3 linked regions of the Astyanax mexicanus genome follow. The protein of the gene in region 3 purifies or fractionates together with the protein of the main gene of each other region. This does not show direct contact. Links are inferred from orthologs where the notes say so. Each region holds a gene or a part of one and is shown on either strand. Other genes may lie near its edges. The genes, in order: kif5aa, kif5c and kinesin light chain 2.

Region 1 (10,546 bases), on a different chromosome or scaffold from region 3:
GCTCAGGTATACTCACTGGTCGTATTGAGCCATGGTGCTGAAGTGAAGCTGTGTGGGCTGAGGCTGTGGTCACTCTGTTATGATGATGGTAGTATAAAAGAAAGAGAACAGGAATAAAGGAATAGTTTCACACATAAGAACTCCAAACACACGTTCACAACCTCTATTCCTGGCCAGTGAAGCTAGTATACTGCAGCCGGGCTAAATTTGGGAGTCCTGTCAGGCAGAGCTACAGCAGACAATAAGAGTATCTACATATCTAATGCACATCTTCACTTAGCTACGACAATCTGTCAAACAGCATTAAAACTTTTAGAGAAACTTCAGGTTTGACTTTGCTTTAGCCACACACACACTCACAACATGTACACACACAATTACACACTCACACACACACATACACACACACACAAACATTAAAGCAATGTAGGCCACACATACCTGCTAAATGAGCAAGGTTTTAATCCAGCTGGCAGATCAGAGTTAAAGATTGATCTCAGAAGTCCAGATTATACTGGTCAGATACTGGCTGAGGCTATCAATTTCCTCCCTGGCTGTGTGTGTGTGTGTACAGTGTGGCTCTATTGGTCACTAAAATGGGCACTGTGTATGTGTGTCTGTCTGTCTATCATGTTGAGCAGTTCAGACAGCTGCTGGATGCCTCAGCTGGTGGATGACGAGGGGTAATAAGACACTCGGTTACTTCCCTCTCTACAGTCCCTCTCTCTCTCACACACACTCACAAGCACAGCTTTTACAATCAACCATGCCTGAAATTAAGGAACACACATCTACACCTCATTCCTGTCTACAGTCGCATAATGATCATTGATATTGATTGTAGTTTACTTAAGCAGCTCCATGAAATGGTTTAATTTTAATAAAGTATATTGTCGCTGTCCAATGAAAAAAAGGCTTAATTTTTGTCGATTTTTAGATTGCTACATAATTTCAACAAACCAACTGTGCTTTACACTGTGTTAAAATGTCTTAAATTACCTGAAATAAACTGTTTTAACATCGACTTTCATTGAAAGTCAAAAAGGTTTTATCTCTCTCTTGTAAAGTTGCTGTTTTTGAGATACTTCTTCGTAAAGCTTAGATTCTTTGCCCAAACCCAACCCGACCCGGGCCCAGATTTCCTACCACTTTCCTCAGGCTGGGACTGTTTTATAAAGCTGTTTTTATTTTATAGAATAATCACAATATAGCAAAGTAACAAATCAAACTGTGTTTTAAATTCGAGGTTCGAATGGGAGCTCCTTCGCTTGTCCGTCCGTAGCCTTATTGTTGTTTTATGTCTTTTGCACTAAGACTATATGTTTAAAATAAAAAAAACTGTTTGTTCAGAAAGTGTTTTATATTCTTAGACATTATTTATTACATTAGAGTAGACAGGAAGATCAGTTCCTAATAAACATTTTTCTTAAATAACAGGTCTATGCTTCTTCAGTGTTGCAATGTTAACTATCATGATTTTGAACAGATTTCGCTCATTTAAACAGCCCAAAAATGTTTTCAAAAAGCAGAGTTATAATAAACTACTTACTAAAACAATGTTTGAATTCAATCGAACTCAGGCTTACAAAATAAGTTTATGGGGCGGGGCTTGTTTTTCATTGGATAGAGATGATATGAAAAAAAGTTTTGGGACTTTTGGGACCTGTTCATTCATTGTTTCCTCCAAAATCAGTGTTAAGTTAAATAAGTATCAAATAAGTACCTGTCTCTTATTTGCAGTGATTTTTGACCCCTGCTGTGATAATTTGATCGCATTTTGAAAAACTGAATTAGTGAGGTCAGAATGTTGTATGATTTCACCTCCTCCCAAATGTTGGAGGTAGCACCATCATCATTCCAGAGGTTTTTATCCCTCTAGCCCAGATCTGCCTAAAACTTTTTTCTCTGTTCTAGAGAGTCCATTTCTATTGGCAATGATTCTTTGCAGGTAATAGACAAGCTGAGTTTATGCATTTTTTTGCATTTTGTATGTGTCAGAAGTGGTAGAAATGGACAGTCCTTAAGTTTTAGAGTGCATTCAAAAAAGTACCCTTTACGTACGTTTTAACCCTTTCAAACCATGTGTTCATTGCAAAGGAAAACATCTGTCTTCTTCTTTTATGTATTCTTGCAGACAGATTGAGACCTATTATGCATCAGAACAGACATACATCAGCCAAACAGCAGTTTAGCCCTGCCACGGCAATGGAAAAGTAAAAGTCTGCACAGTAAAGCGCTAAATATGGCAGAGTAACACTGATTTTATGAGTTTAGAAATGCTTATGAATGATTGTGAAAAACTTTTATATAAAGGAGTTATATAAAAATTATATGGAGTAAAAATAACAGTGCTAAACAAATTTCACACTTCACTGCAATAAACAGAAAATACATTTATTTTTTTATTTGCTGAACCTTTTTTGGAGTGCATCATAGACAGAAAAGTGGATTATTATTCAATATTTTTTCATCACTGGAGAATACATCAATGTCTGGGGATTTTAGTGACAGCTATGTTGAGCTCTTTTTTTACTTTGTCAGCCCTTATCAGTTCTCTAATTCTGTGTTTTATTGTTTTATGATTTGTAAATGAGCAGATGAAAACTGAATTTGCCTTTCGGATGTCAGCCTACAGTAGTTAGGCTCCACCCATTTACGCTGAATTTTTAAGGAGGGTTTCTACATTTACTGAGCCATTCAGAATAGAGATTATTTATCTATAGCATTATTAAAGTGATTTTGTGTTTTAATCAGAAAAACTAATATTATCAAGTTGCAAGAACTTACCAGCCAGTAAAGCTCAATAAAATGAGTTCAGAGAACTTTAACCTGAAAACTTAAAAATGCTTGTTGAGCCAAAGAAATTAAATAATTGTTGTGTGAACAAAAATCTGTTAAGTTGAATAAACTTAAAATTGTATATATTTACGACTTAATGGAGTCAATGCAAAAGGATGAATTGACTGAGTTAAGTTGAGCCATTTTTTTTTCCTGTACAGTAACAAAGAACTTCTGATAAATGGAATTGCAACTGTTTTTGGGACCTACACACATGCAAATAATAGTAAATGAAATGATATGTGGAATATGCCCCGTCTAATTCATATAATCCTAATTATTTTGTATATCTATCAATTCTTCCGGTGTATTCTTGATAATGATGTTTGAAGCTACTGGATACAATTAAGTATCTATGTACCTACCTACCTACCTGTCCATCTGTCTGCTGTCTGTTTGATGTTTACAGGGCATTAAAAGAACCAGACATTTACACCAATTTTCTGTATCCATAAGACAGTGTGCTGCTGATATACTTGTATTAAAGTCTAATCAATACCAAACGTCCACTTTAGAACCGTTTAAAGAACTGAAAGTCTGAGAAAGTAAGAATCAGGGGTATAATCTCAATGACCCCATAGACCCCTTGCCCCTAATTAGACAAAGTGACTGCATCAGATCTGCATGTTCATAGGCTGTACACATTCTATCTGCATTAAATATCAAGAACATTTTAAAACATTACCAGATTGTTTTGTGTTGTGAAACAATGTGCTTTGTCATTGCTGTAGAACTGCAGAATCAGGGTCTTTTAACGAGAACTTCAGCGCTGGGTATTTATGTTGTTTTCTTTCCCACCCGTATTCAGACCGGCTTTGCCTCGTGTGCTGGGATTGGCTAGAATTCTAGACGGAAAGCCAATCACAGCGCAGGACACAACGTGGAAATGAATAGGGCAGTAGTAACTGTATTTTTTCAGTTTTCTACAAATAATGTACAGATTTTAAGAGATTACCCAAAACATAAAAAAGCCAAATAACTGTAGTGAAACCACTGCTTTCTAACAAAAAAAATAAAAAATAAAAATAAAAATGCTAAATAACTGTAGTGAAAACACTGCTTTCTAACAAAAATAAAAATGCAGTAGAACTGTAGTGAAAACACTGCTTTCTAACAAAAATAAAATGCTAAATAACTCTAGTGAAAACACTGCTTTCTAACAAAAAATGTTAAATAATTGTAATAAAACCACTTCTTTCTAACAAAAACAAAAATGCTGATTAACTGCAGTGAAACCATTGCTGTCTAACAACAAATAAAAATGCGGTAAAACTGTGGTGAAAACACTGTTTTCTAACAAAAATAAATAAAAATGCTAAATAACTGTAGTGATACCACTGCTTTCTAAGAAATAATAAAAATGCTGAATAACTGTAGTGATACCACTGCTTTCTAAGAAATAATAAAAATGCTGAATAATTGTAGTGAAACCACTGCTTTCTAATAAAATAGACAAAAAAAAATGCTGAATAACTGTAGTGAAACTGTTGCACCTTAGCCTGTGTCTGTCTTGAATTATTTCCTCTTTTGGTTCCATGTGCTTCTGTCCTCTGTTTTTCTGTTTTGTTATTGTCCTTTCTCAGCCCTAGCCCCGTCCTAGCCATTTGATCCCAGTGTTATTGTTTTGAATAGTCTTTGTACTTGTCTAACTAAATAGTTATCCCAGTGTTGTTTATTGTGTTTTTGCATTTCCGGTGTTTTCTGTTTTGCTTTTGTTTATCTTGCTTGATTTTATTTCATTTAATTGATATTATCTGCATTTATGTCCATCCTCTCATCCTTCTGTTTGTGACTTATTTAACAAAAAAATAACGCTGAACAACTGTAGTAAAACCACTGCTTTATAATAAAAAATACAACAAATAAAAATGCTGAACTATAATAAAACTACTACTTTCTAACAAAAAATAGAAAAATGCTGAATAACTGTAGTGAAACAACTGCTCTCTAACCAAAATTAAATTGCTAAATAACTAGTGAAACCACTGATTTCTAACAAAAATAAAAACACTGAATAACTAGTGAAACCACTGCTTTCTAATAAAAAATAAAAATGCTGAATAACTGTACGGAAACACCTGCTTTCGAATAAAAAATAAAAATGCTGAATAACTATATGTAAACCCCTACTTTCTAATAAAAAATAAAAACTCTGAATAACTGTAGGGAAACCCCTGCTTTCTAATAAAAAATAAAAATGCTAATTAACTGTAATGAAACCACTGCTTTCTAATAAAAAAAATACAACAAATAAAAATCCTGAACAACTGTAGTAAAACCACTGCTTTCTTACAAAAAAAATGCTGAATAACTGTAGTGAAACCACTGCTTTTTAACAAAAATAAAAATGCAAAATAACTAGCATTTTTAAACCAAAAAATTTTCTAACAAAAATAAAAACTCTGAATAACTGTAGTGGAATCACTGCTTTCTAACAACAAAATACAAAAAAATAAAAATGCTGAATAACTGTGGTAAAACCACTGCTTGATAACAAAAAAAGAACAAATCAAAATTCAGAATAACTTTAGTGAAACCACTTCTTTCTAATAAAATATTCCAAAAATAAAAATGCTGAATAACTTTAGTGAAACCACTGCTTTCTAACAAAATATTTAAAAAACAAATTTGCAAAAAAAAAAAAATGCTGAATAACTGCAGTGAACCCCCTGCTTTCTAACAACAAATAAAAACACACAGTGGGCGCGTCATTCTTCCTCTTACGGGAAAACAGATCCTGTCAGCCTATCGCAGCGCGGGGGGCGTGGTCTGTCTGAATGCGGGTGGGGAGTGAAACACAGCTATACTAGCGCGGATGCGAGTACCGCTTTAACAGCAGCGGATAGACCACGCCCTGCCGTCCGGGAGGCTACAGGCAGCTCAGCATCCTTCGCCCTACAAGAGCTGCTTCACCTTCGCCAAGAACAACAGCGGAACAGAGCAGAGCGGGCGGGCGAACAGCGGCGGATTTACCGGGTTTTTTTTATCTTCGCAGCTCCACCTTTAATCTGCGGCTCTGCTCTCTGCATCGCAGCGGCGGATATAACATATTTACGCAACGTAAGCTTTCACTGGCAGATTTATTTATTTATTTATTATTATTAGCCTTATTTACCTTTATTTTTGTAATGCAGTCTGAATCATATATATATATATTAATAACGCGAATGTTGTTGTTTTATTATTCCAGCCCGCTTTTCTCCAGTCTCGTGCAGTCTCAGTGTGCATCATGACCGAGCCCGCCGCAGAATGCAACATCAAGGTGCTGTGCCGCTTTCGCCCTCTGAATCAGGCCGAGATCCACCGCGGAGATAAATTTCTCCCCACCTTCCAGGGGGATGACACCGTCGTGGTTGGGGTAGGGCTGCTTATCTAGCTTCTTTTTTTTTTTTTTACATAATATGATTAATTTAACCCAGAGATGTAATATATACAGTGTAACGGCTGTGAGGAAGAGGCTGGTTTACTGAACGGGAGAAATGGCGTTGGCTGAGGATGATGCTGAGGCATACTGAGGATGGGCCGTATGACGTAATCACCGCTCGTTTATCATTATTCTCCCTGCTGTAAATCGGTACCCGAGCCATTCATTTAACCTTCGTTGTGTAGAAGCTTTTTCCTCAGGCTGCGGTCAGTGGGGTGATGTAGATCCGGGTGTTTTTGTCTTTCTCTGCTTGGTTGTTTAGATGGTTGGTTAGATGCTGGGCTCTGCTGGGCTCTGCGTTAGTGTTTATTAATGTAGGCCCGTAGGCTGTTTATAGCCACGTTTCCCTCTGATCGATCAACCCAGGTTCTCCAGATCCACAGCCTAAATATCCGTTTACTGATAAAAAAAAGACCTGAAAAAGGGCAGTGATTTATTTTTGTATTTAGTTTTTCTTTTTTTTAATTATGATGATGATGTTACAGATGCTGATGCTGATATACAGGTTCATTCTACAACTGAAGGGAGGGTACTGTGGGGGTTTTGCATCTCCCCCTATAATAAATCTGATTTTTAAAAAATCAGTGTCATATAATAATTCTAATAAATTAATTGCATTCATTTTTTGCTATTAATTACTGTTAATTTATATATGTTTAGGCATTTGTATGTGTACATATATACACAATATTATCTAAATGAATCCCACCCACTCATTATTGACTATTTAATTATTTAATTATTTAAATAGTGTTTTTCAAATTTCTATCTAAATTTTTCACCAATTTAGCTGTATCTATTATACCACTCATTCAGTTGCACTCCCCCTACATGTGAACTCAGCCACCACCTCTTTTTAAAATGCTGTTGATGTAGCATTACCGTGTAGCATCACAGCACACTCGGAGGAAAGCACAGTGACCCACATCTGATACATCAACTAACAGACAATGTGCTGATCCACATCACTTTGTGAGTGATGTGGAGAGAGAAAGAGAGCACTGTCTACCCACCCAGAGAGAGCAAGGATCATCAATACTGTTGATGTATGTTTTTTAGGCATTTGTATTTACATACAAAATAATAGTTAAATGAATCTCAACCACACATTATTGACCATCTCCATCTCCTGATTAATACAGTCCATTTGTTTTTTACATTAAAAAAATTGAACGCTACTAACTGCTATAAATAAGGCTGGGGCGATATGGCAAAACTATGATTTCACAGTATTTATAGACAGTTTTGAATCCATTTGATTAATCAAATAACCTTTTTAATGATAGATAGATAATTAATAGATAATTGAGCTTGTACATTTTTACATATAGAAGCTGTCAGATGAAATCTCAGTAAAGTATCTTTGCACTGTGTTTAATATAAAAGCTGCATATAAGGTTAAAGGCAGCTGCATACTTTTTGTAAAAAAAATGGATGTAAGAACTAAAAATTGTAATAGTATTCAAGAATTACCCATGTATTTGAAGAATATGGAGATCATTTTTTTTTACAATATCACTCAGCCCTTCTATACAGATAATATTGTGAAATTTACAAAAAATAGTAATAATCTCTTTAAAAAATACAAACACTTCAAAACAAGAACAATCAAGTACAAATACTTTTATTCAAAATAAAATGTATTGGATGAAATGTATTCAATTAAATTGCATAAAGTTGGGCCAGTGTTTTTTAAGCACTGTTGATATCCATGATATGCTTAAAAATATATACACAAAAATATGCACAAAAAGATCTCAAAAAATTAGAATATCATTGAGAACTATTTTACTACTTTATTTCAGTAATTCAGTTCATAATGTGAAACTCATATATATTATTCTAATTTCCTGAGACAATGATTTTTAAGTTTTCATTGGCTGTAAGTCATAATCATCAACAGTAAAATAAATAAATGCTTAAAATAGATCACTCTATGTGTAATACATATATATATATATATATATATATATATATATATAATAAAAGTTTCACATTTTCAACTGAATTCCTAAAATAAAGTAACTTTTCACACACACACATATATATTTATTTATTTATTTATTTATTTATTGCAGTAGTATATAAATAACATTCCAGCTTTGTTATCTCTGACATAAAATTGCATAAAATCTGCAAACCATTCTAATAAAGGCCTGTGACCTGCACCTAATGTCACTTTCTCTGGTTGGAAACGTATAAAATGTATGATAGTCAGAGAGATACAGCACCTGTCAAAAGAGACACACCTTCTCATTCAGTATTTTTCTTCATTTCCTTATTTATTTAAATAATTAATATTAAAACATGAAAATAATTAAGAACAATCATGAACAACCCTGTTTCATATTTAAAGAGTGATAACAGAGTTGATTAATGAGTTAAATCTTTTCATAATTGAAATGTACCTACAATTCTAGAATAAGCTATATCAAGAAATTTACATGTGGCTTAACAAGCAGGGTTTTGTTTTTAAAAATCATCTCGCTTTTCTCCCAAATATAGCTGTGTTGATTATCCCACCCACTCAGCTGCAGACACCTATCACTAGTAATGCCAAACACCAGGGTGAGGGTAAAGACTAGCACATGCCTCTTCCGACACATGTAAAGTCAGCTACCGCCTCTTTTTAAATTGCTGCTGCTGATGTAGCATTACCATGTAGCATCACAGCGCACTCGGAGGAAAGCGCAGTGACTCAGCTCTGATACATCAGCTAACAGACTCCTGTGCTGACTGACATCACTTTTGGAGTGATGTGGGAAGAGAGAGAGCGCTATCTACCCACCCAGAAAGAGCAAGGATAATTTTGCTCTCTCAGACTCTGGCTGCTAATGGCAAGCTGCATGACCGGGATTCAAACCAGCGATCTCCTGATCATAATGGCAGCACCTTAGTCTACTGGACCACTCAGAGCCCAACAAGCAGCTTTTTGACTAACTAGAATTTGGCGTCTCTTTAAAGATAAAAACTAAGATCGTGCTTAAATGACCGAGCTGACCTGTGGGTTCTTTTGTTCTGCAAGACACAGGCTACACGTACTGCGAGATACATATATATATAAGCCCATATAAGTCATATATAATGTAAAATAAGCAGTGTTTTCACAGAGATACGAATATATGTAGTCATCCATGGTCACAATCACATCTGATTATGTCTCCTTGTTAGGGATGAGCAATTTTTAGCATCCAGACTCTGCCTGAGCCCATCAGCAGCAGTCACAGGCTAATAACAGACCTGGGGTGGGAGCATAAGGAGTGGGAGGTCCGGGAGAGGGGGGGAGGATGATGCTGCACAAGTAAATTCTGTGTTGTCTGCTGATACCTCACTGCAGTGCATTAGCAGACATCAACAGCCTTCCAGACAGGCCTGCTGTCTGCATGAGACTATTAAATATGAAAATGCAGATAAATGTTAATAACTACCAATCTATAATTTTAATTAATGCATGTAAATAAAATGTGTGTCAATGTGTAAAATGTGTTTTATTTATTTGCATGAAACATACGGCTCTGGAAAAAAAATTAAAAGACCACTTCAGTTTCTGAATCAGTTTCTCTGATTTTGCCATTTATAGGTTTATGTTTGAGTAAAATGAACATTGTTATTTTTTTCTATAAACTACAGACAACATTTCTTCCAAATTCCAAATAAAAATACTGTCATTTAGAGCATTTATTTGCAGAAAATGATAAATGGCTGAAATGACCAAAAAGATTCTGAGCTTTCAGACCTAAAAAATGCAAAAAAAAAAATAAAAACAGTTCATATTCATAAAGTTTTAAGAGTTCAAAAATCAATATTTGGTGGAATAACCCTGGTTTTTAATCATAGTTTTCATGCATCTTGGCATGTTCTCCTCCACCAGTCTTACACACTGCTTTTGGATAACTGTATGCCTTTTCAAGCAGTTCAGTTTGGTTTGATGGCTTGTGATCCTCCATCTTCCTCTTGATTATATTCCAGAGGTTTTCAATTTGGTAAAAAATATAAAATATATATATAAATTACTGAATTGAATAGAATTACAGTACATTTGTTATATTACATGATTGCAGTAAAGATACAATGTTTTTCTCATTATTTCTGTCTTTTTAAGAGACTTACACCTCCTGCGTAAGTCTTGTATAAAACTCTTGTATAGGTTGCTGTTGTTAAAAATGATGCAAAATGGGAAACTGATTAAGTTTGAGTTATGAGCGTAGGAATAGTATGTTTTTAGGTGTATAGTTTTTTTTAAATATACATAGACTCTTTTAAATGCCAGTTCATAAAAATGTA
Region 2 (10,284 bases), on a different chromosome or scaffold from region 3:
CCTTGCCCTGTTTTCCCTGTGTTTCTCGTTTCCCTGTGTGTTCCCCAGTAATTTTCCACTCCCCTGTGTTCATTTGTAACTCCGCCCCTCATTAATTAGTCCCCAGGTGTTACCTGTTCCCTCTCCCGCCTTGTGAGCTCCTTTGTCGTCAGTGTTAGTTTGTCGGTTCTTGTGCGTGTTATGCATCAGTCTCGGCAGCGTATTTGTTCTGTTCATTATTCAGTTTGTACTCAGATCCTGTGTTGGTTTACTTGGTTTGTTTTCTGTTTAATAAATTACTTGCCCTGCTCTCCTCATCCGTTCTTTCACGTAGCTTTACAGGCAGAAGGCAGTATACACCCTGAACAGGCTGCCAATCCATCAGGTAAATTGAAAACTCTAAATTGCCTAGAAAAAATTGAATACTCTAAATTGATCTGGTGTGTATGTGTAAGTGTGTGTGTAAATGTATGTATCACTGTGCCCAGATATGGATTGGCATTCTGTTCTGAGTAATTGCTGCAGTGGTCTAGGTGGACGGTTGTTTCCGGTTGAGAGTACACTGTGCGCTATTGGCTGCCGCTTCTCACCGGTGTGTGAATGAGTGCCAAGTATAAAATGGTTGTGTAAAACGTGTAAATTGTAAAGTGCCCTTGGGTTTCTAGAAAGGTGCTACAAAAGTGTAACTACAATTTATTCACAAAAAACAGTTCTAATGGCATTCATTCACAATAGAGGCCACAACTAGACATTTCAAAATGAATGAGAGAAAGATGGAGCAAGACCTTTTAAGTTACATACATGTGTAATATTGGATATTGACATCTGCCCTGAATTTACATACAGTGCACCCTTAATCTGAACAAGTAGTGGCTCATTTGTCTTGTATACTACAAAATAAAAAAAATCTGATTGTAGTCCTTTTTATTGGAAATTTGTGCTTAGTTATACAGAAAACTGTAAAATCCTGTAATACTCTGGGCAAGAATGAACATTTATTGGCTGAAATAAGCACTGTCCCTGATTCAGCCTGAAATTCACTTTGCTGGTCTTAAAATGAGATTACAGACTGTGTAGAAGAAGAGAACACAGCCAGGATTAGGCTGAATAATTACAACACAGAAAATGAACCTTCATTAGGGGTTAATTTTAGACGTGCATATTAAATTATGCATTAAGGTTAATCATTCATTGATGTTTTTCACATCCAGGCACATGACACATTGTAGAAAAAAAACAGCAAATACATTAGGGGTTAAAAGGGGGCATTACTTTATCCATTATTCATATAGCATTACTTAATATAAAAAGGTACACAGTGTTTTTTTATTGTGTGGTGATACAGTGCAATTTACTGTAAAACTAGTAAAAAAGTGTGAAAGCCAAGATCTTGATGGAGCTTAGACCAGAAATAAACATCCATTTCACTAAACTGCTGGAACAATATATAAAACCATTTTTGGTAACTATAAAGACTAGCAAAGAGGAACAGTAACCACATATATATATATTGTTATTGCTATTGCACCAAATATATATTTTACTTTATAATTAGGAACTTGTTTTTTTTACATTATTTGAGGTCTGATAGCTCTGCATTTTTTGTTATTTTAGCCATTTCTCATTTTCTGCAAATAAATGCTCTAAATTACAATATTTCTATTTGGAATTTGGGAGAAATGTTGTTTTTAGTTTATAAAAGAAAACAACAATGTTCAGTTTTTTTTTCTTTTATTGTTGATTATTACAGCTTACAGTCAATAAAAACCCAAAAATAAGTGTTTCAGAAAATCAGAATATTATGAAAAACCGATTGGTACTTTTGGCAGTGTGCTGGAAAAAATCCGCATCTCCATAAAAGTTATCAGCAGAGGGAAGCATGAAGTGCTGTAAGATTTTCTGGGAAAACAAAACTGCACTGACTTTAGACTTGATATAATAGAGTGGACCAACACCAGCAAATCACAGATGACAATATGCTTAAAATTAAATACTAATTAATTGACGAATTTAATATAGATTATTTACTCATGACAATCTATTTAATGTCACAATATATTGTGTGTTATACAATATGGCACACCCCAATGAAAAATATTAAGATTTTATATTTTATGATTAAGCTGGTTGACCAGCTAAGTTCCTGACCAGTATTGGTTTTGTTTGTGTTTGAAGGTTTAGCTGATGACCAGCATGACCCACATCAACATGCTGGTCGAGCCTGAGCTGGTCATGCTGGTTTTTCAGTAGATCATGAATTACTTTTTAGATATTTTGATTTAACATAAATATTTATATGTTTATTGATCACTGTCCTCATTTACCAATCTTTATAGTAAGGAAAAATATTTAATTATAATTTAAAATTATATATTTTCCCCCATTCAATGAGGTGTTGATGTCTGAGCTCCATCATGAGCTCCATCAGCATCTTGGCTTTCACACAAAAGCCTGTAGGATGTATGTAGACTGTGTTTGTGTAGCCTATTTAAAGCAACACACATCATACAAGACTAAAGGACATAATCCATTAATGATCCATTTACACATACAGTTTACAGTATTTTAGTTTACAGTATTAAACAACATGTACTGAATCGGGCTATATATAATAAGCATATAACAGGCATTACCAGCTTTAAAATAAACACTACAGCTAAATGATGTTATTTGTTACTGCAATATAAGCCATAGAGATAGCAACACTGCTAATGGCCAAAATTATTAATTTAGCATTCTAACTTATATCTAACATTCTTTCTAGACCTGTCACATTTTGTTTTATATTTGTTTTGAATATATGAGTTATTAAGAAGAAAAACTGCATTAACCAAATAAATAAAATATATTTAAAAGATACAAAATATAAAATACATATAAATAAAATATACATGATTACAAGTATTATTGTAATTTTAACATTGTCTTATGTCAATGATAATAAAATAGCATAATAATCAGACTGATTTAAAGTGCAATAAACATAAATTTTAATTAAAAGGACTGATATATACTATATACAATATATTTTTCGATTTATTTATGCTAAGTAATAATAATAATAATAATAATAATAATAATAATAATAATATGGAGAGTATACTGTAGATTTATTCTAATCTTGTTTAAAACTGTAACATAATTCTCTATGTGTAAATGGATCATTATATGTATCTTAAATTATGCATTGTTGTATGATTATACTACTGGGACTAGTAAATATCTCTGTATGCTGAGTATATTAATATATATATATTAAATGGATAATTATTATATGTGTCTTGGTCCTCTTGCATGATGTGTGCTTCTTACAATAGTATAATGATTAGTCATTATGACTGAAAAATAAAAAATGAATAAATACATTTATACATATATATATATATATATATATGTATGTGTGTGTGTGTTTGTGTGTATAGCAGCTATAGCACTGTAAGTTCACCAGAAGGTGATGAACACTGTCAACCTGTTATATCAACACCACAAATCTCTACTGGGCTGAATATGGCTGAGCCATATTCTTTCTTTATTCTTATGAAAAATAAAAGTATAGCTATTGTTTTAACATATTAAGCTTTAAACGTTAGATTTAGTCTGTTAAACCAAATTAGACTTACCGTGACAACCACCGTGTCTTCCCCCTTAAATTTGGGTATATATTTGTCTCCTCTGTTGATTTCCGACTCGTTGAGTGGCCTGAACCGGCACATCACCTTCACCCCGCACTCAGCCGCATCCACCATGGCGAAACCCGACTGAAAAACGAGCTTTATATCCAGAAAAAGTTGAAGAACTTAAAGCCTGTAAAGCAGCTCAGCTACACATCTCCGTTCACCGCTAGCTGCTGTTGCTGCTGTTGTTGTTTGCTGCCGAATACCCTTCTAATATCCCTCTTTCTAATGTTGTAAACTGTCTCTACACACGTTTAAACCAGGTCTGTGTGTTTAAACTGCAGTAAAATGAGGTAAAATGACTAATAAATAAATAAAACCTCTTTTAAACGTCCCCTGTTCTGCGGTCAGATGCACTGAGGTAAAGACTGCAGTCGCTGCATCGCCCCTCTTGCAGCAGCATCAGCACCAAAAGCGGCGTTTTTCCTCAGCGCGCCTGTTTTCGGCGAAATCCCGCCCCCGTTGCGTTGTGATTGGCTGGTGGGATCCTAAACCCGTGCTGGGATTGGCGAGACTGTCCGGCGAGATCTCAGCTTTGTCTGAAAGGTAAGACACGCTGCCCATTTAAACATGATTCTGAGGCAGGAAGAGACCAGGCCAAGTCTAAATAATGTTGATGATGGAAAAACAATCTTTTAACAATATTAATTTAACGTTATTAAACGTTGAATTAACGGTAATTGTTCCATCTCTAATGCAATTAAACAAATCTCGGACATCAGAATTTATTTATTTGTGTCCATTCATTTTATGTTATTAGTAAAATATGATTTAAAAAAATAAAGCATTAAATTAATAATATGATTGTAACTAAGATTGTTTTATGTCACTGTCACGGGTGTGATGATAATACAATTGCAAAATAATCAGACATTTTCACAAGTGCCACAAACTGTTGATTATTTGATATATATATTTAGGCAACCAAAAATGTATGTTTATTTCATATTCTCAGTTGGTGTTAAAATTCTGACATTAAATCAATATTTATTTAAAGGCTTTGAATGGTTGAGGCTCTGTAGCAAAAAAAAATAATGTAATAAATATAACACAAACAAGATATACATATTTAACATAAGTAAAATTTAATACAAACAGTACAAATAAAACCATAACTTCGAATTAATGTTGAATCAATGTAAACAGAATGTGCAAAAATAAATAATTTCTGATATTTTGTTATATAGGAACAGTTCATATCAAGCAGTTTGCTGGATTTAATACATTGATAAACTCAGAATGTGTCTTTTCCTTTTGATTCATACACAATCCCATTCAGAAGGCAGTGTAGTGAGAAAAATCTCTTTGTGTCCAAATCAGAAGGAAGAAAAAGTCTTGTCATTGCCAAAGTAATAACAACTGACTATTGGCTGTTAGCTCTTATTATGCAAAAGTGGATCAAAAATAACCTGGTGAGGTTGTTTTCCTTTGTTTCTTTATTTATTGTTTTTTTCATATTGGAAACATTCCTCGGGAAAAGTGTTACTGATTTACTGCCATTTTTTAAAATTGCTTTTTATCCTTTTTACAAAAATTCTTTGTTTTGTTTTACGACCCCAATCTTTCATAGGTGGATCTAAAATGACAATTGATTCTTATCAGCTGTGACTGTAGACCACACAGAATATATTATAAATATCAGCCCTTAAGAAGAGTAATGTACAAAGGTCACAGAGGTTTCATTTATTGCTACTATCTAATTATAATTATAAGCTAGCTAATATTACTGTATTTACTGTGTGTGTGTGTGTGTGTGTGTGTTAAGGAGTATGTGTTTACTATTTTCTGACACACAATTTTATTATTTTTTAAGTTTGCAAAAGTTATTATCTGGCTAATGAAGCTAGACAGACACGCAGACACAGACAGACAGACATGCAGACTATGCATCTATCTATCTGTCTGTCTGTCTGTCTGTCTGTCTGTCTGTGTCTGCATGTCTTTCTAGCTTGGTTAGCCAGATAATTATTAATTTAGCACATTGAGATTTCTTTGAACTGTAAAGTGCATTACAAATAAAATGTATTATTATTATAATTAGTTTTGCAAACTTAAAAATAGACAAATGATACCTAGGTAGGTAGGTAAGTGATAGATAGATAGATAGATAGATAGATAGATAGATAGATAGATAGATAGATAGATAGATAGATAGATAGATAGATAGATAGATACAGTTGTGGTCAAAAGTTTACATACACTTGTAAAAAAACATAATGTTATGGCTGTCTTGAGTTTTCAATAAGTTCTACAACTCTTATTTTTCTGTGATAGAGTGATCGGAACACATACATGTTTGTCACAAAAAACAGTCATAAAATTTGGTTCTTTCATAAATTTATTATGGGTCTGCTGAAAATGTCACCAAATCTGCTGGGTCAAAAATATACATACAGCAACAAAATTTGTCAATTTTGGTGATGTAGCGAGTTGTGTCAATCAAATTAGCTTCATGTCATGGCCTCTTCACTTCTTGTAAGTGATTCTGATTGACTACAGCTGTTGACTTCTCATGAGCCCATTTAAATAGGGCTCATTTGACCCAGTGATTAGACTCAGCTACAAAAGCTACAATGGGAAAGTCAAAGGAACTCAGTGTGGATCTGAAAAAGCGAATTATTGACTTGAACAAGTCAGGGAAGTCACTTGGAGCCATTTCAAAGCAGCTACAGGTCCCAAGAGCAACTGTGCAGACAATTATACGCAAGTATAAAGTGCATGGAACAGTTGTGTCACTGCCACGATCAGGAAGAAAACGCAAGCTATCACATGCTGCCGAGAGGAGATTGGTCAGGATGGTCAAGAGTCAACCAAGAATCACCAAGAAGCAGGTCTGCAAGGATTTGGAAGCTGATGGAACACAGGTGTCAGTCTCCACAGTCAAGCGTGTTTTACATCGCCATGGACTGAGAGGCTGCCGTGCAAGAAAGAAGCCCTTGCTCCAGAAAAGGCACCTTAAGACTCGGCTGAAGTTTGCTGCTGATCACATGGACAAAGATAAAACCTTCTGGAGGAAAGTTCTCTGGTCAGACGAAACAAAAATTGAGCTGTTTGGCCACAACACCCAGCAATATGTTTGGAGGAGAAAAGGTGAGGCCTTTAATCCCAGGAACACCATGCCTACTGTCAAGCATGGTGGTGGTAGTATTATGCTCTGGGGATGTTTTGCTGCCAGTGGAACTGGTTCTTTGCAGAAAGTAAATGGGATAATGAAGAAGGAGGATTACCTCCAAATTCTGCAGGAAAACTTAAAACCATCAGCCCGAAGGTTGGGTCTTGGGCGCAGTTGGGTGTTCCAACAAGACAATGACCCAAAACACACATCAAAAGTGGTAAAGGAATGGCTAAACCAGGCTAGAATTAAGGTTTTAGAATGGCCTTCCCAAAGTCCTGACTTAAACCCCATTGAGAACATGTGGACAGTGCTAAAGAAACGGGTTCATGCAAGAAAACCATCACATTTAGCTGAACTGCACCAATTCTGTCAAGAAGAGTGGTCAAACATTCGACCTGAAGCTTGCCAGGAGCTTGTGGATGGCTACCAAAAGCGCCTAGTTGCCGTGAAAATGGCCAAGGGACATGTAACCAAATACTAATGTTGCTGTATGTATATTTTTGACCCAGCAGATTTGGTGACATTTTCAGCAGACCCATAATAAATTTATGAAAGAACCAAATTTTATGACTGTTTTTTGTGACAAACATGTATGTGTTCCGATCACTCTATCACAGAAAAATAAGAGTTGTAGAACTTATTGAAAACTCAAGACAGCCATAACATTATGTTTTTTTACAAGTGTATGTAAACTTTTGACCACAACTGTAGATAGATAGATAGATAGATAGATAGATAGATAGATAGATAGATAGATAGATAGATAGATAGATAGATAGTCTCATGCATCTAAGGGTTAATAAAACAGAATCCTACATCACTGAACTTTAATTCAGACATGCCTTCCTGCCTCAAGTAAGCAGCATTTCTCACATTTCAGACACAAAGCTTTACTACAATGCCTTCTAAGTGAGATAGTGTGGACAGCAAGGCATCAAGTCAGCAAGCCATCAATGTCTTGTGTTTCAGACAGATCCCTATGACTCAATCCAGCGCAACACCCCCCCCTTGCTGGTGTATTGATGCTGTTGACTTACTATCCCACAGTGCCCCCAAACGAGAGGATGCAGGTACTGCACTTTGATTTATAGGTAAGAGAACAATTGCACATTGACTCCAAACAGAGGTGGACAATATGGCCAAAAAATCTATCACAATAATAAGACTAAATTAATCACAGTACGTTATCATAAAGTGTATTGACATATGAGCATAATATCTCATTGAAACCCCAAAGGGACAACATCTAAAGTGGGTTTAATTAAGTGAAATTGTAAACTTAAGTAAACTTACTTTAATTTATTTATATTTTACTCATGCATTTTTTTGTATTATTAATCAATACAGACACGTCAAGTGTTTAAACACACCTTCTCATTCAATGTTTTATTTTTATTTTTTTACAAAAATGTTAAAAACCATATTTAAAGTATCACACTGATTAAACCACAGTTAAATACATTTAAACAGTCAGTGTGGGTAGGTGAATAGTATTAACTATTAATTACCGTCTTTTTCATAATATAAGGTATACTATACAATTATATCGGATTGTAGCCTGCGCGATTACTGAAGTAAAACATTCTATGTGGGACAAACCGCTAGTTAATATCTGTGTGGCTTATTGGAACGCTCAGGGTATAAAGTGTAGTCAGGTTTGTGAGACTTTAAATAGTCTGTGATCTAAGAAGTGTTTTTGATTGTGGTGACTAAGAGGAAAAAAATCGAGAAAATAATTTAGACTTGTAGAACAAAACACGTTAAAACCATTAAAATCATTTTTACCTGTCAATGACGAGGAAAACGAGCAAAACCTTTAAATCAGGTGGTTGAATTTAATGGTTGTGCAGGGGTTGATGGGTAATCTGATCTCTACTGCAGTTTTCTGGTGCTTTCACAGAAACACGCCTCCATGGGTTGAGAGTGGAAGGTAGGAGTAAGAAAGGAAGCTCAGTAAACACATTTACTAGAGAAACCCAACTGTTTTGGAGGTTTAGGGGCTGCTGATGTGGGCCTGAAACAAAAACGGCTTTTTGCCAATGAAATAGAATGCAGTCTGGACTAGTGAAAAGGAAATGTTGGGAATCAGAGGGAAATCTACACAAAATATTACATACTACAGTTTACTGTATGGATAGTTTATCCACAAATGTAAGCTTATAAACACAAATTGGATCATGGATACAAGTAAAAATACATTTGATGGAATATGTAAATATGACTATGGAGTTTTCCCCCAACGTATGCACCTAAGCCCAACTGAGACAAGAAAGCGATAAAAAGAAACATAATTTCCAAATAAATCTCAAGAAACATTCAGAATGTGATGTGATTTATTATTGAGCAAACATTTCTTAAATAAATGGAATATATATAAATTAAATTATTGCAGTGATGTATTTGGCATGACAATGCTGGAGTATTTCTTGGCAGCAGTTAATAAACCATCAATAATAAACCAGCTCTTGTCCTACAGTCCAGGTAGGGGCGCTGACTCTGTAACTGTGGTTCCAGTAACTCCAGAGAAGTGGAGAAGCAGAGAATCCATCCAGAGCTGTTTTATGGAGAGACTACCTACTATCTATAGATTCCAGTTATATCAGAAAATTACTGATTACCACTAGAGGGAGCCCGCGCGCAAGCAGAAAATGAATGGGGATGAATGGATCTAAACGGCTAAAAATACATATGGAAGCGAGTAACTAATTTAGGATTAGGTATTGTGCTAAACATACAAAGAAAACGTACATATAAACGTACATATTATTGTATGCTTGCTTTTCTACAGCAAACAGGTTTATACAGTAAAGGAGCTATCATCACTGCTACAGTGTGCATTGAGACTGGCCGGTGAGCTGGAGTGTTGGAGTTACAGAAGTAAGTATACTTGGCTATTTATACTCTTACTCTATTCTTACATTCTTGTTGTACACTTTCTAAACAAGGTTGTATATTCACTTTGGGCAGCATTCTGTATTTTTTTAAAGAAAAAAATCTCAGATAATGTACCACTAGTGGTACGCAAACCATTACAGGGTGGTACACCAGATGAATATTTAATACAGGCACAAAAAATATATTAATGATTGAAGTCCAAATAGTTTTTACCTCTAATTGTCACGTAAGCTCTGTTTGTGTTTAGTGCTTAACTTGTTAGATCCTGTGTGTAAGCTTTTACATTTCAGTTCTTTACAGTTTCAAAGGTCCTACAATTGACCCTTGTGGATCTCCACTCACAGATTCATAAAAGTTCTGTATGGGTAATAATAGCAAATCAAATTGACTAGAGTATATTCTAGCAACACAGTACTGAAACTAAGTACTGGAATATACACAGTACTGGAACTTTTCAAAAACTTACATGCACTCACACACCTCATACCTGCACTACTGCTTATACTTGCGCTGTCATACCCACTTTAATTCCCCCCACAACTGTGACATTTAAAGAACTTGTTCACTTTTACCAGCCTATATCTGTGACATTGTTGTTTTGTACATTTAGTGTTTTTCATT
Region 3 (10,389 bases):
TGAAGATCTTTCCAAGAGCCTTTTCTTTTCATTTACATTTTTCATTACTCAAATGGTTGGGGGTCTGTAATTTCTTTCCTCTTGCCTTCCACACCTCAATGCTCCTATTAATTTGCATTGGACACTTTTATTTCCTCCACAGTGTCTGTTTTATACCAGTCCCCCGAAGTGAGATACACAACAAATGATGAAAGAGAATGTGCTTGCATAACCCTTTTCTCTGGAACAGCAGTGAGGTGTCTCCCCACACTACCCTGCTTGCATTTATCTGGGAAAGCGTGTGATCCAAGAATGGGAAATTTGGGAGTGATCATCACTGCTGTGACTGGTTAGCTGGCTGCCAAACATGATGCCATAGGTACTTTCACTTTCTTTAATTTTGCAAGCAGCAATCTTACAAAGACAAATTCTACGGAAGTGAAGTCTATACATGTTGCCAAGATACAGTAAAACTGTAAATAATAAACTGGAATAATATATTCTTCACAACAATGGACTGAAATAGAAAACAGTACTGGCAATATGTCATCCTGGAATCATACGTAAAATTGCATTAATCTTTCTCATGAACCATCCCATGAATTTAGACTTTTACAACTTTGAAATAAATTGTATACAAATCAAAATGTTCGTAACATAATCGAAAGTTCTGTAGTAACAAGAATTACATTAAAGCCCTCTAGTTTGCAGCTCTATGCATATTACTAATTATAATTTGTTGTGTGTCATTTTCAATGAAAGAAGACAACATCCTAAAGAAGCTGAGACCCAACACTGAGTTAATATTTAAAAGGGATGGTGGAGTGACAGCTGCTTTGTTATCTACCAAAGACAAAGAGCAGTCCACAACACGGCACACGAAAAAGTAGGACAATGGGAAATGAGTTAGCTGGTTTCTAGGGTGCATCACTGACCTCATTTTAGTGTAAACAATGGAAAAACAAATCTTATCATAAATGTTATTGTTCTTCTGTGTTTATATGAAGTAGTATGTGAAATTTAATGCCTGACTGTCTGTTTATACAATGTAGATTAATGTTTAATGTATTTTCTATTAATATTAAAACGTGCACAGTACAATTAAATGCTTCTTTTTGATATCGCATCTCTGTCCCCTGGAGCAGAGAAGGCCTTGCTGAAGAGCCCAACAGTGGCAAATTTCTTCACCCTACGTTCTGTGATCCATAACTCAGTGCTCTAACCAATGAGCCACCTCTGTCCTCAGAAAATATTAAGAAATAGACTGAAAACTGTCATAAAGCAGGACTGGACCTGGAAATGTTTCATAATCTGGGGCCTCATGTACTAAAGGTGCGTACGCACAAAAACATTGTGTACGCCATATTTCACGCTCACAGCCAGATGTACTAAATGTGACTTGAACGTGAGAAAGTGCGTTCCCCCACGGCACTTTTGTTTCGGGCGTACGCATGTTTATTTTTTTTGTACGTTTGTATTGTTTTTTTGTCATTTGGCGACACTTAGAGGCGATGCATTGAAATTACAACTATTAAGATATCCTTTAGGCACACATTGTAGTAATAAGCCATTAATGGGTAAAATAAAGTAAATTAATCAGACAGTTTCATTGGCTTACAGAAATAATCGTTCAACGTGTTTCCACTTAGCCTAGATTGTATAAACATGGATAAAAGTGCGTGCTGGAGTTGTTGGAGATGGCAGCGTTGCATTATTGGAAAATATTGCTAATAATTGCTAATTTTCCGTGACCATTATGTTTTTTTGGCCCATGATGATGACTGACTTATAAGCCGTTGGTTTCCAAGAGCATAAGAGGATAAGAAAACAAGTTGAGTGCGTGACGGGCGGCTTCTTGGTGAGCAACTGATTTAAAGCATTTAAATGAAACAATTTAATATGCATCTTAGAATAATACATTTAAACTTGGGTAATTATTAGTTATTACGCTATGCGTCTTGCGACACTTTTCTTTCTTGACTTGCATATTCTACTCTAGCATATTATTATTATTATTATTATTATTATTATTATTATTATTATCATCATAACATTATACTCTGCGTAATTGAGGGAGGAGTCGTAGCAGGTGTGATGTTTTCGTGCGCTTGATTTCAAGTTGATTGTGAAGAACTAAGAGAAAGTACGTGGGATTCTGCCTACGCACGGTTTGATAAATCCGGATTTTTTTGTGCGTACGGAACTTTTCAGGTCTCAGCGTACGGAACATTTTAGTAGGAAGTCCACGCAAGTCTTAGTACATGAGGTCCCTGGTCCCTGGATGACGGAAAGCTCAGAAATCAGCCTCTTGCAGTCTAAAATTCAACGTTCATGCACCAGGTGGCGCACACTTAAAACCTCCTCCACCTCCACCACCCCCCACCCCGTGTATTATTCACTGCAATGCAGCAGAGGAGGAAGCCTGTTACTTCCATCAGATGGAGCAGGATGCTGAACTGAGCACCAAACATGCACCACACTACTTTACTTTAAGTGTCCCATAGACTATCTGTGCAGGCTCCAGCATATTTCTCTATCTGATCATATTTTACTAAGACCTAATTAAAGGATGAGTGTATGGATGTGTAGAATTAGATTTAGGATCAATCAAGGTGACCGACAGGACATCACAGGGGCGCCATTCAGCAAAACACTGGACTTTACAAGACTTAATTTGGCTTTTTGTTGGAATTTTCCGTTCCACCTTAAATTTTGCAGTAGTTATACGTTGGCCCCGTGGAGCTTCATAATGTAACCATGCTTGTTTTTTTTTTAAGGTAGAACGGGAACAAAACGAAAATCTATTAAAATTGTAGCTAAATAACAAATTCAAGCCAAATAATCTCAAAGAAAAGTAAAGTAAGATAAAGATAAAGAGCACGTTATAAAACAGTCCAAAAGCAGACTTCAATCAATACACGTGAATGGCGCATCACGAATTCAACAAAATAGCTCAAATAAACAGCACAAACCTTCACGTAGTCTCTGTTCTGGTTTAATTTAAAGAATTAAAATCCACCCAGCTCCAGATTATACAGACTGAGACTGCTGACATCGCATCCAAACAAGAGGAAAGACCCTTTCAAGCTCGTGTTTTTAGCCTAAATGCTAACCTAGCGCTAGACTTCGTCACTGTAGCTGGACAAAGCCTGGCCTGTGTTCTGCCCAGTTGCGCTACACATCTATATGTGCTACCCAGGCGTTCTGCGCATGCGCTGACCCATCGTTTTAAAGAGTTGTATGTGATGATTCTGTTTTTCTTTGGTGTATTATATACAATATGAGCTTAGTACAAACATTGCTTGAGATACTAATAAGTCGTTATTTAGATCCTATGAAGTCATTATTTTGATATACTAGGTCATTTTTCTGAAATCCTATAAAATCATTGATTTGAGATACTGTCATTATTTTGAGATCCAATGAAGTCATTATTTTGAGATCCTATGAAGTCATTATTTTGAGATCCTATGAAGTCATTATTTTGTGATCCTATGAAGTCATTATTTTGAGATCCTATGAAGTCATTATTTTGAGATCCTATGAAGTCATTCTGAAATCCTATGAAGTCATTATTCTGAGATCCTATGAAGTCATTATTTTGAGATCCTATGAAGTCATTATTTTGAGATCCTATGAAGTCATTCTGAAATCCTATGAAGTCATTATTCTGAGATCCTATGAAGTCATTATTTTGAGATACCAGGTCGTTATTTCACGAATGCACGAAAGCAACTTTACATAAAGGAAATAAAACCTTCATTTTCAATGGAAGTCTATATGGAATTTATTTAGGATAATTTTAGAGAATTTCTATTGGTCCATTCATCAAGACATTATGACACAATGTAAGTTTGTGTTAAAATAAAAATCTACAAAAAAACTTTTATATTTTGAGATCTCATTATTTTGACATGCTATCATTATTTTTAAATACTTAGTTTTTATTTGAGATTTGAGTATTTTTAGTATCTCAATATTTACATATATATTTTAAGAGATTACCCACCTCCAGCTAGCTTGCGCGTTTTGACAGGGTGGCACAAATTGACAGAGCAGGTCAGATGCCCGGCTTTGTAGAGTTAGGTTAGCTAAGCTAGCTAACCTAGGTTTGCTATCTGCCAGCCAACCAGTCATCATTTAGCCACGAATTACCTAGATAATATAGAAAATCCCGAATACAGAAGGCTAAACATAGCAATAAGGGCATGAAAATATATTTAAGAACAGTAAATATGAAATGTTTGGCTACATGACCTAATAAATTGTGCGACAGTAACGTTAAACAGACATTTGTTTATCTTACCTTTTTCGCTGAAACACGGGTTCTGACGGAGTTCTGATCGTGTTCTATTGGGTTTTAGTAAAATATAAATCCTTTAAACCCGTGATTAAATATGTTTAAAGGTGAAACAGCCCAGATTCAGACTGAAGCATCGTACCCGTAGCTAAGCAGGCTAAACGTTAACAGCTAACGGACGCGCCGCTCGCTCGCCCGCTGCTGAAATCTATCCGGCTGTACGGCGCCGGTTATCCCTCTCTGAACACGGAGAAATACAGATCAGCTCGCTTCATCAGTCCGTCCGCCCATCCTCGCCCGTTCCCCGGGGTTATCCAGCGCTGGGTGGAGACGGTACCCGCTCCAGAAGCCTCTCCCCGCTGTGTGAGACACTGCCAGCCAGACCCGGGGCTCGCTGCTAGCTGCGGGCGTTTGTCTATATGCCTAATAACCAACCGCCAAGGACAGCCGACGGAGCATGCGCACCGTGGCTGTGCTCCAAATTACGCACTAGTGCCCTGGCTAGAAACGCTAAGCTTGTGTAATCGATGCAGTAACCAAGTACCCTTGTTAGGACACAAGCGCGCATATTAGAGCACAGCCAGCAGATATTTTACAATGTAACGGTTCATTTATGTGGGATATCAAGAACGGTCCGGTTATAATAATAATAATAATAATAATAATAATAATAAGATTTTTTTATAGATTTTGTTTGCACCCTGCAGGCCTGGTAGGTTGGTACATCTCCGGGCATTAAACTCTCCATAACATTTTACACCAAAACCATGAATTGCTTTTTTTCCATTTCAATATAATGAAGAAATGTGTTTTTATCCTTTTCCAGTTTTCGAGTTTTCTATTGCTGCCACTCACAATCTGAATTTCAGGAAAAAAAATCAGATTTTTTCATTATTGCTTCTTGTAAAAAAAAAAAAGGTACAGTCTATATTTGTAAATATCTGAAAATCGAGAGTGTTTGTTAAATTTTCCTAAATATCATATCTGAGGAGCAGCCACAAAAAAACCTAGAAAACTGTATGAAAAGCCCATTTACTTCACTTTACTAAATGCAAAAAAAAAAATGGTTTTACACCCAATTTCCTCTTTCCAAATTTGCCTAAACTGATAAACATTAAACTGACCATAAAAGCACTGCATTCCTACATTTAAATGAATAAATAAATAGACTTAGCTAGAACTTTAATGTGCTTCACCCTTTACACAATCACACACTTCACACAATGCTATTCTGTGGTGGATTCCAGCTTTAGAAACAAAGCTTGTTGAAGCTTTTTTTTAGGATATTGCTTTAAATAAAAGAAAGCTCCTCATAGTAATTCAGACATGCACACTTATTTTCGATAAATTTCGATAAATCCTGAAACTGCTCCTGTAGATGCAGATGTTCCTGTGGACATATGAAGAGAACACTGAAGGCGGAGAACAAATAAGGTGTGTTTATTTAAAAAAAATGAACACTTTCAGTTTATATCCCACACATTACCCCAAAGACAACTGAATCATGAAAAAGCAGTACTACAAAACATGTTGAATAAAAAAAAAATAACAATAAAAGAACTTCATATTACAAGCACTTCTTAAGATATGTACAAGCGTTGTTGATTCTTTATATAGGCAAAAGGCAAACGGCTAAGGACTGCTAAAACAAACAAGTGCATGTGCAAAAATACTCTTTTCATCCACAATCTCAGACTCTCCCTCTGTAACCACAGGCTTTTGTGCCAAATATGAAAGAGTGCTATTCTACCCCACCATCAGCTGTGCCTTGGGGTTTAGCTTTAGCCAAAATGCAGAGCCAAACACCAAAGCTTGTGGAATTCAAGAACAATGTTCTCTCTTTATTAACATAAAACTCCAATAGTGAGACCCTTAGAACGACCTGATTCACTAAAGCAACTGATATGTTAAAGTCAAGTTTTGGGATTATGAGAAATTTTACTTTTTATTAAGTCCTGACTGATATAGATATTGATTGATGGCTGGTAATATTTTTCTTTGACCTGCAGTTTAATCATTTTCTGTAAATACCTATGAATGTTTGGGTTGTGGCATGGCAGGATTCAAATTAGTTATATCCTAAAAACAGGGAAAATATATATTTTTAAGAAAAATATATGAACTAATTTATAGAAATGAAAATCATGTTTAAAGAATAGAAAAAAATTATGACAGACAAGAGTTGTGTGATATAATAAATAAATATAATATTGCGATATTTAAAGACATTTTTGATAGATTTTATCACAATGTTTTGACAGACAAAATACATCAACACAAGCAGATTCTTAAAAACTGCTTCTCAAATACTCTCTTATTCACAGCACATATCCATCATGTTGCCCACCTCTATAATATAACAGGGTCATATTTCATCTATTCATCTATTGTTTAATATCACCCGTTCCCAGCAGGGGTATATGATATGGACAAAAGTGTGATATGTGATAACTCTGTTGGAAATTGATGTGAAACAATGTGACTTAAGATCCTGAATAATTTAAGCTCATCAAAGGATTTTCATTAATAATCAGCAGGTTATAAATGTAGATAACTGATTATCTTCACTGCACCCCTGAAACAGATCAAGAGAGAAAAATGCTCCTTTCCCTCCGAGTTTCTTGTCTTATTGCGCATAAAACACGTTCACTCGAATTACAGAAATCGTGAGCACGAATTAAAGAACTCGTGAGCACGAATTACAGAAATCGTTCACTCGAATTACAGAAATCGTGAGCACGAATTAAAGAACTCGTGAGCACGAATTAAAGAAATCGTGAGCACGATTTGCAAATCGTTCACTCGAATTAAAGAAAACATGAGCACGAACTGCTATATCGTTCACTCGATTTAATAATTTTTTTAATCCATGGCCCCTCCCGGGCTCCGTATTATAATAATAGTGTAGCCTAAGGATATTAAAATTGCATTTTCTCTAATATTAACTAAAAAACCACTTGGGTCTGTGTGTGTGTGTGTGTTTTCTCACAGACCACTTCAGTTTCTGAATTAGTTTCTCTGATTTAGCTATTTACAGGTCTATGAATGTTGTTGTTTTATTCTATTCTATCTAACTACAGACAACATTTTTACCCAAATTCCAATTTTTTTTTTATTAAGAGATTTGCAGAAAATGAGAAATGGCTGAAATAACAAAAATGATACTGAGCTTTCAGACCTTAAATAATGCAAAGAATTAATATTAATAAACGACAATTGTTGTCCATATATTATTCAAGCGTAACATACACTGTTTTTTATATTATATACATATACATATATGAGCCCTTGCACCTAATGGGTGCCAGCTGCTTGTCAGGCAGTTCAGCTCCAATAGACGGCGTCAGTCGATGCGGCATCTATGCATGGCTGGATTACTGACCGGGCCAGTGGGGCCAGCCAGAGGCCGAAAACTTTTTGCGATGCCTATCAACATTTATGGTAGAATATATTTTTATTACAGAGGGCCCTCCATTTTAAGGATCCTCTGACTATTAGAGATTTGACCCCAGGGCCTCTTGGCGGCCCTAGCCATGCTTTTGGGGCTCCTAGCCATGCTTTTGGGCCCTTTTTGAGGCGTTGTGGCACTGCTCTGACTTCGACTTCTGGCTATTAGGGGTCCTAGGAAAGAGGGGGGCATATTTTTAGAGGGCCCTGGTTATGAGAGCCCCTACCAGGGGGACCTAGAGAAGAGCAGGGCATACCATTAGAGGGCCCTTGATCACGAGGGCTCCTGCTATGGGGCCCTTGACTTCCATAGAAGTCGTTTACCATGCCTCCTTGACTTTCTAGGGACCTAAAAATTCAGGCCCTTACTTAATGTTTATGAATTTGTATTGTTTCAAAATTATTATGTTCAATTTCTCTTAAGTGCAGAGACACAAATTAATCTAGCAATTTTGCAATTATTTAAATTTAAGACAAAATTGCTTGTCTGATGAATGCTATCTTTGACACCGATTAAATTGAGTGAATTTGGCCAAGGGTGTGATTTCACTTATGTGAATACAACAAGCCATTTGACTAGTTTCACGTTTCCCCTTTAATAAACAACAATAAAGAGATAATGAAACAGCAAGTGGTTTTGTTGTAGTAGCTGTGGCTGCGTGTGCGTGTAACCCTGATATTTTGTTTGAGGATTATTTATTGGAAAACATATTTTATTCAGCTTGTTATTCAATGACTATTCAATCACAGTTTGACATGACTTGACATGTTTCAAGGCAGTGTGAAGGGGTCTTGACAATAATTAAACTTGATTTAATATCATTAACACAGCATTTTTAATATACTCAAAACCTTTCCCCTGTCTCCCTATCCATGCCTCTCTCTCTCTCTCTCTCTCTCTCTCTCTCACTCTCTCAATTCAATTCAATTCAATTCAAGGTGCTTTATTGGCATGACAAATAGCACTACATTTGTGTTGCCAAAGCCTGAGTTATACAGATTTAACAGTAAAGTAAAAGTATAGAACTGATTCAGGGATTAACAATTTCTAGAATGTAGAACAGAACAGATTCTACATTTTAAAACAATGCAAAAATTAAATAAATATATAAAGATAAAATAGATAATAATAAATAAATAATAATAAAGCATAATATAATTAGTGAAAGAAGTAATGAGACAAATTAACTAAAATTGTTTGTGTGTGTGTGTGTGTGTGTGTGTATAGTGTGCGTGTGCATTTGCGTGTGTGTGTGTGTGTTAATGTGATATTTAGTATGATATGGTCACTCTCTGTCTCTCTCTCGGTGACAGGCTGTGATGTATTGGGCTGCAAGAGTGCAGCTCTCTCTTTTCTCTCCTAACAGATAGGGGAGTTTCTCTGGGTCTGTAAGGCGGGTAAACTGGGGGTGTTTATTACTGAATTTTTTGTAGAATTCTTTGCAAATCTCAGTGTATTTGGGGCATTCTGTCAGAAAGTGCAGCTCTGTCTCTGGTGTGTTTTGGTTGCACAGCTGGCATGTTCTGTTTTCCGGAGGCACCCAGGATCTCTTGTGCCGGCCGGAGTCTGTACCTGGTCAAGGTGGACCTCATTTTCAGATCAGTCACTGTGCTCAGGTACTCCCCCACAGTGTACTGTCTCTTTAGGGCCAAATAGCACTGCATCTTACTCTGGGTTTTAGTTTGAGTTACCCAATAATGCAGGTACGCTTCTCTCAGATTAGCTGTAACTTGGTTGGACCAGCTGAGTGAGGGGATTGTTGTCTTTGCTCAACTCTTGGTACTGCAGAGCTTTATAATGATGTGAGTGGGGGTCGCTGTGTTTCAGGTGTTTCCAGAATTTGATCGCCCGTTTCTGTATTTTTAAGAGGAGAGGATATTGGCCTAATTCTGCTCTGCATGCGTTGTTGGTGGTGTGTCGGTGCACCTTTAGAATGTTTTTACAGAATTCTGTATGCAGAGTCTCAAATGGGTGTTTGTCCCATTTTTCAAATTGTTGATTTGTAAGCGGACCCCACACTTCACTGCCATAAAGGGCGATGGGTTCAATTACAGATTCAAATATTTTAATCCATATTCTGATTGTAATTTCTGCAAAGATTTGTCGTTTTATGGCGTAGAAAGCTCTGTGTGCTTTTTCTCTCAGTTCACCCACTGCCTGATGAAAATTCCCTGTAGAACTGATTTTAATACCTAAATAGTTATAGTTAGAGGAGTGATTGATCACCTCTTTTCCTAACCTAAATGTGTGTTGTGATCCCTGAGATCTGGATCTTTTTTGAAATACTAAAGTATTTGTCTTTTTTAGGTTTACTGCCAGGGCCCAGGTCTGGCAGTACTGCTCCAGCAGGTCCAGGTTCTGCTGTAGACCCTGCTCTGTGGGGGACAGCAGGACCAGGTCGTCTGCGTAGAGCAGGAATTTGATCTCTGAGTCGTGCAGAGTGAGACCGGGAGCTGTAGATCGTTGTAATATTTTTGCCAATTCGTTAATATAAACATTAAAAAGTGTTGGACTCAGGCTGCAGCCCTGTCTCACGCCGCGCTCCTGAGAGATGGAGTTTGTTTGTTTGTTGCCAATTTTTATTCCGCATCTGTTTCCTGCGTACATTGATTTAATCAGATCATATGTTTTACCCCCTACACCGCTCTCTAGCAGAGTGTAT

What was found.
Region 1: the proteins of kinesin light chain 2 (region 3) and kif5aa purify together in Homo sapiens (affinity purification with western blotting; 3 studies listed by BioGRID and IntAct, with this or other methods). This does not show direct contact. The link is inferred for Astyanax mexicanus from reciprocal best matches to the Homo sapiens genes KLC2 and KIF5A.
Region 2: the proteins of kinesin light chain 2 (region 3) and kif5c purify together in Homo sapiens (affinity purification with western blotting; 3 studies listed by BioGRID and IntAct, with this or other methods). This does not show direct contact. The link is inferred for Astyanax mexicanus from reciprocal best matches to the Homo sapiens genes KLC2 and KIF5C.

Annotation. Positions count from the first base shown.
Region 1 is NC_064419.1:9,769,126-9,779,671, reverse strand, and holds the start of kif5aa (kinesin family member 5Aa), read left to right. Parts: upstream 1-5,684; 5' UTR 5,685-5,898; intron 5,899-6,028; 5' UTR 6,029-6,067; coding exon 6,068-6,196; intron 6,197-10,546. Other genes in the region: stac3 (SH3 and cysteine-rich domain-containing protein 3), read right to left, coding at 17-33. UniProt on the Homo sapiens protein: Microtubule-dependent motor required for slow axonal transport of neurofilament proteins (NFH, NFM and NFL). Can induce formation of neurite-like membrane protrusions in non-neuronal cells in a ZFYVE27-dependent manner.
Region 2 is NC_064418.1:15,257,598-15,267,881, reverse strand, and holds the start of kif5c (kinesin heavy chain), read right to left. Parts: upstream 4,062-10,284; 5' UTR 3,726-4,061; coding exon 3,600-3,725; intron 1-3,599. UniProt on the Homo sapiens protein: Microtubule-associated force-producing protein that may play a role in organelle transport. Has ATPase activity. Involved in synaptic transmission. Mediates dendritic trafficking of mRNAs.
Region 3 is NC_064415.1:13,525,422-13,535,810, reverse strand, and holds the start of kinesin light chain 2, read right to left. Parts: upstream 4,375-10,389; 5' UTR 4,286-4,374; intron 3,135-4,285; exon of another isoform or gene 2,952-3,134; intron 1-2,951. UniProt on the Homo sapiens protein: Kinesin is a microtubule-associated force-producing protein that plays a role in organelle transport. The light chain functions in coupling of cargo to the heavy chain or in the modulation of its ATPase activity.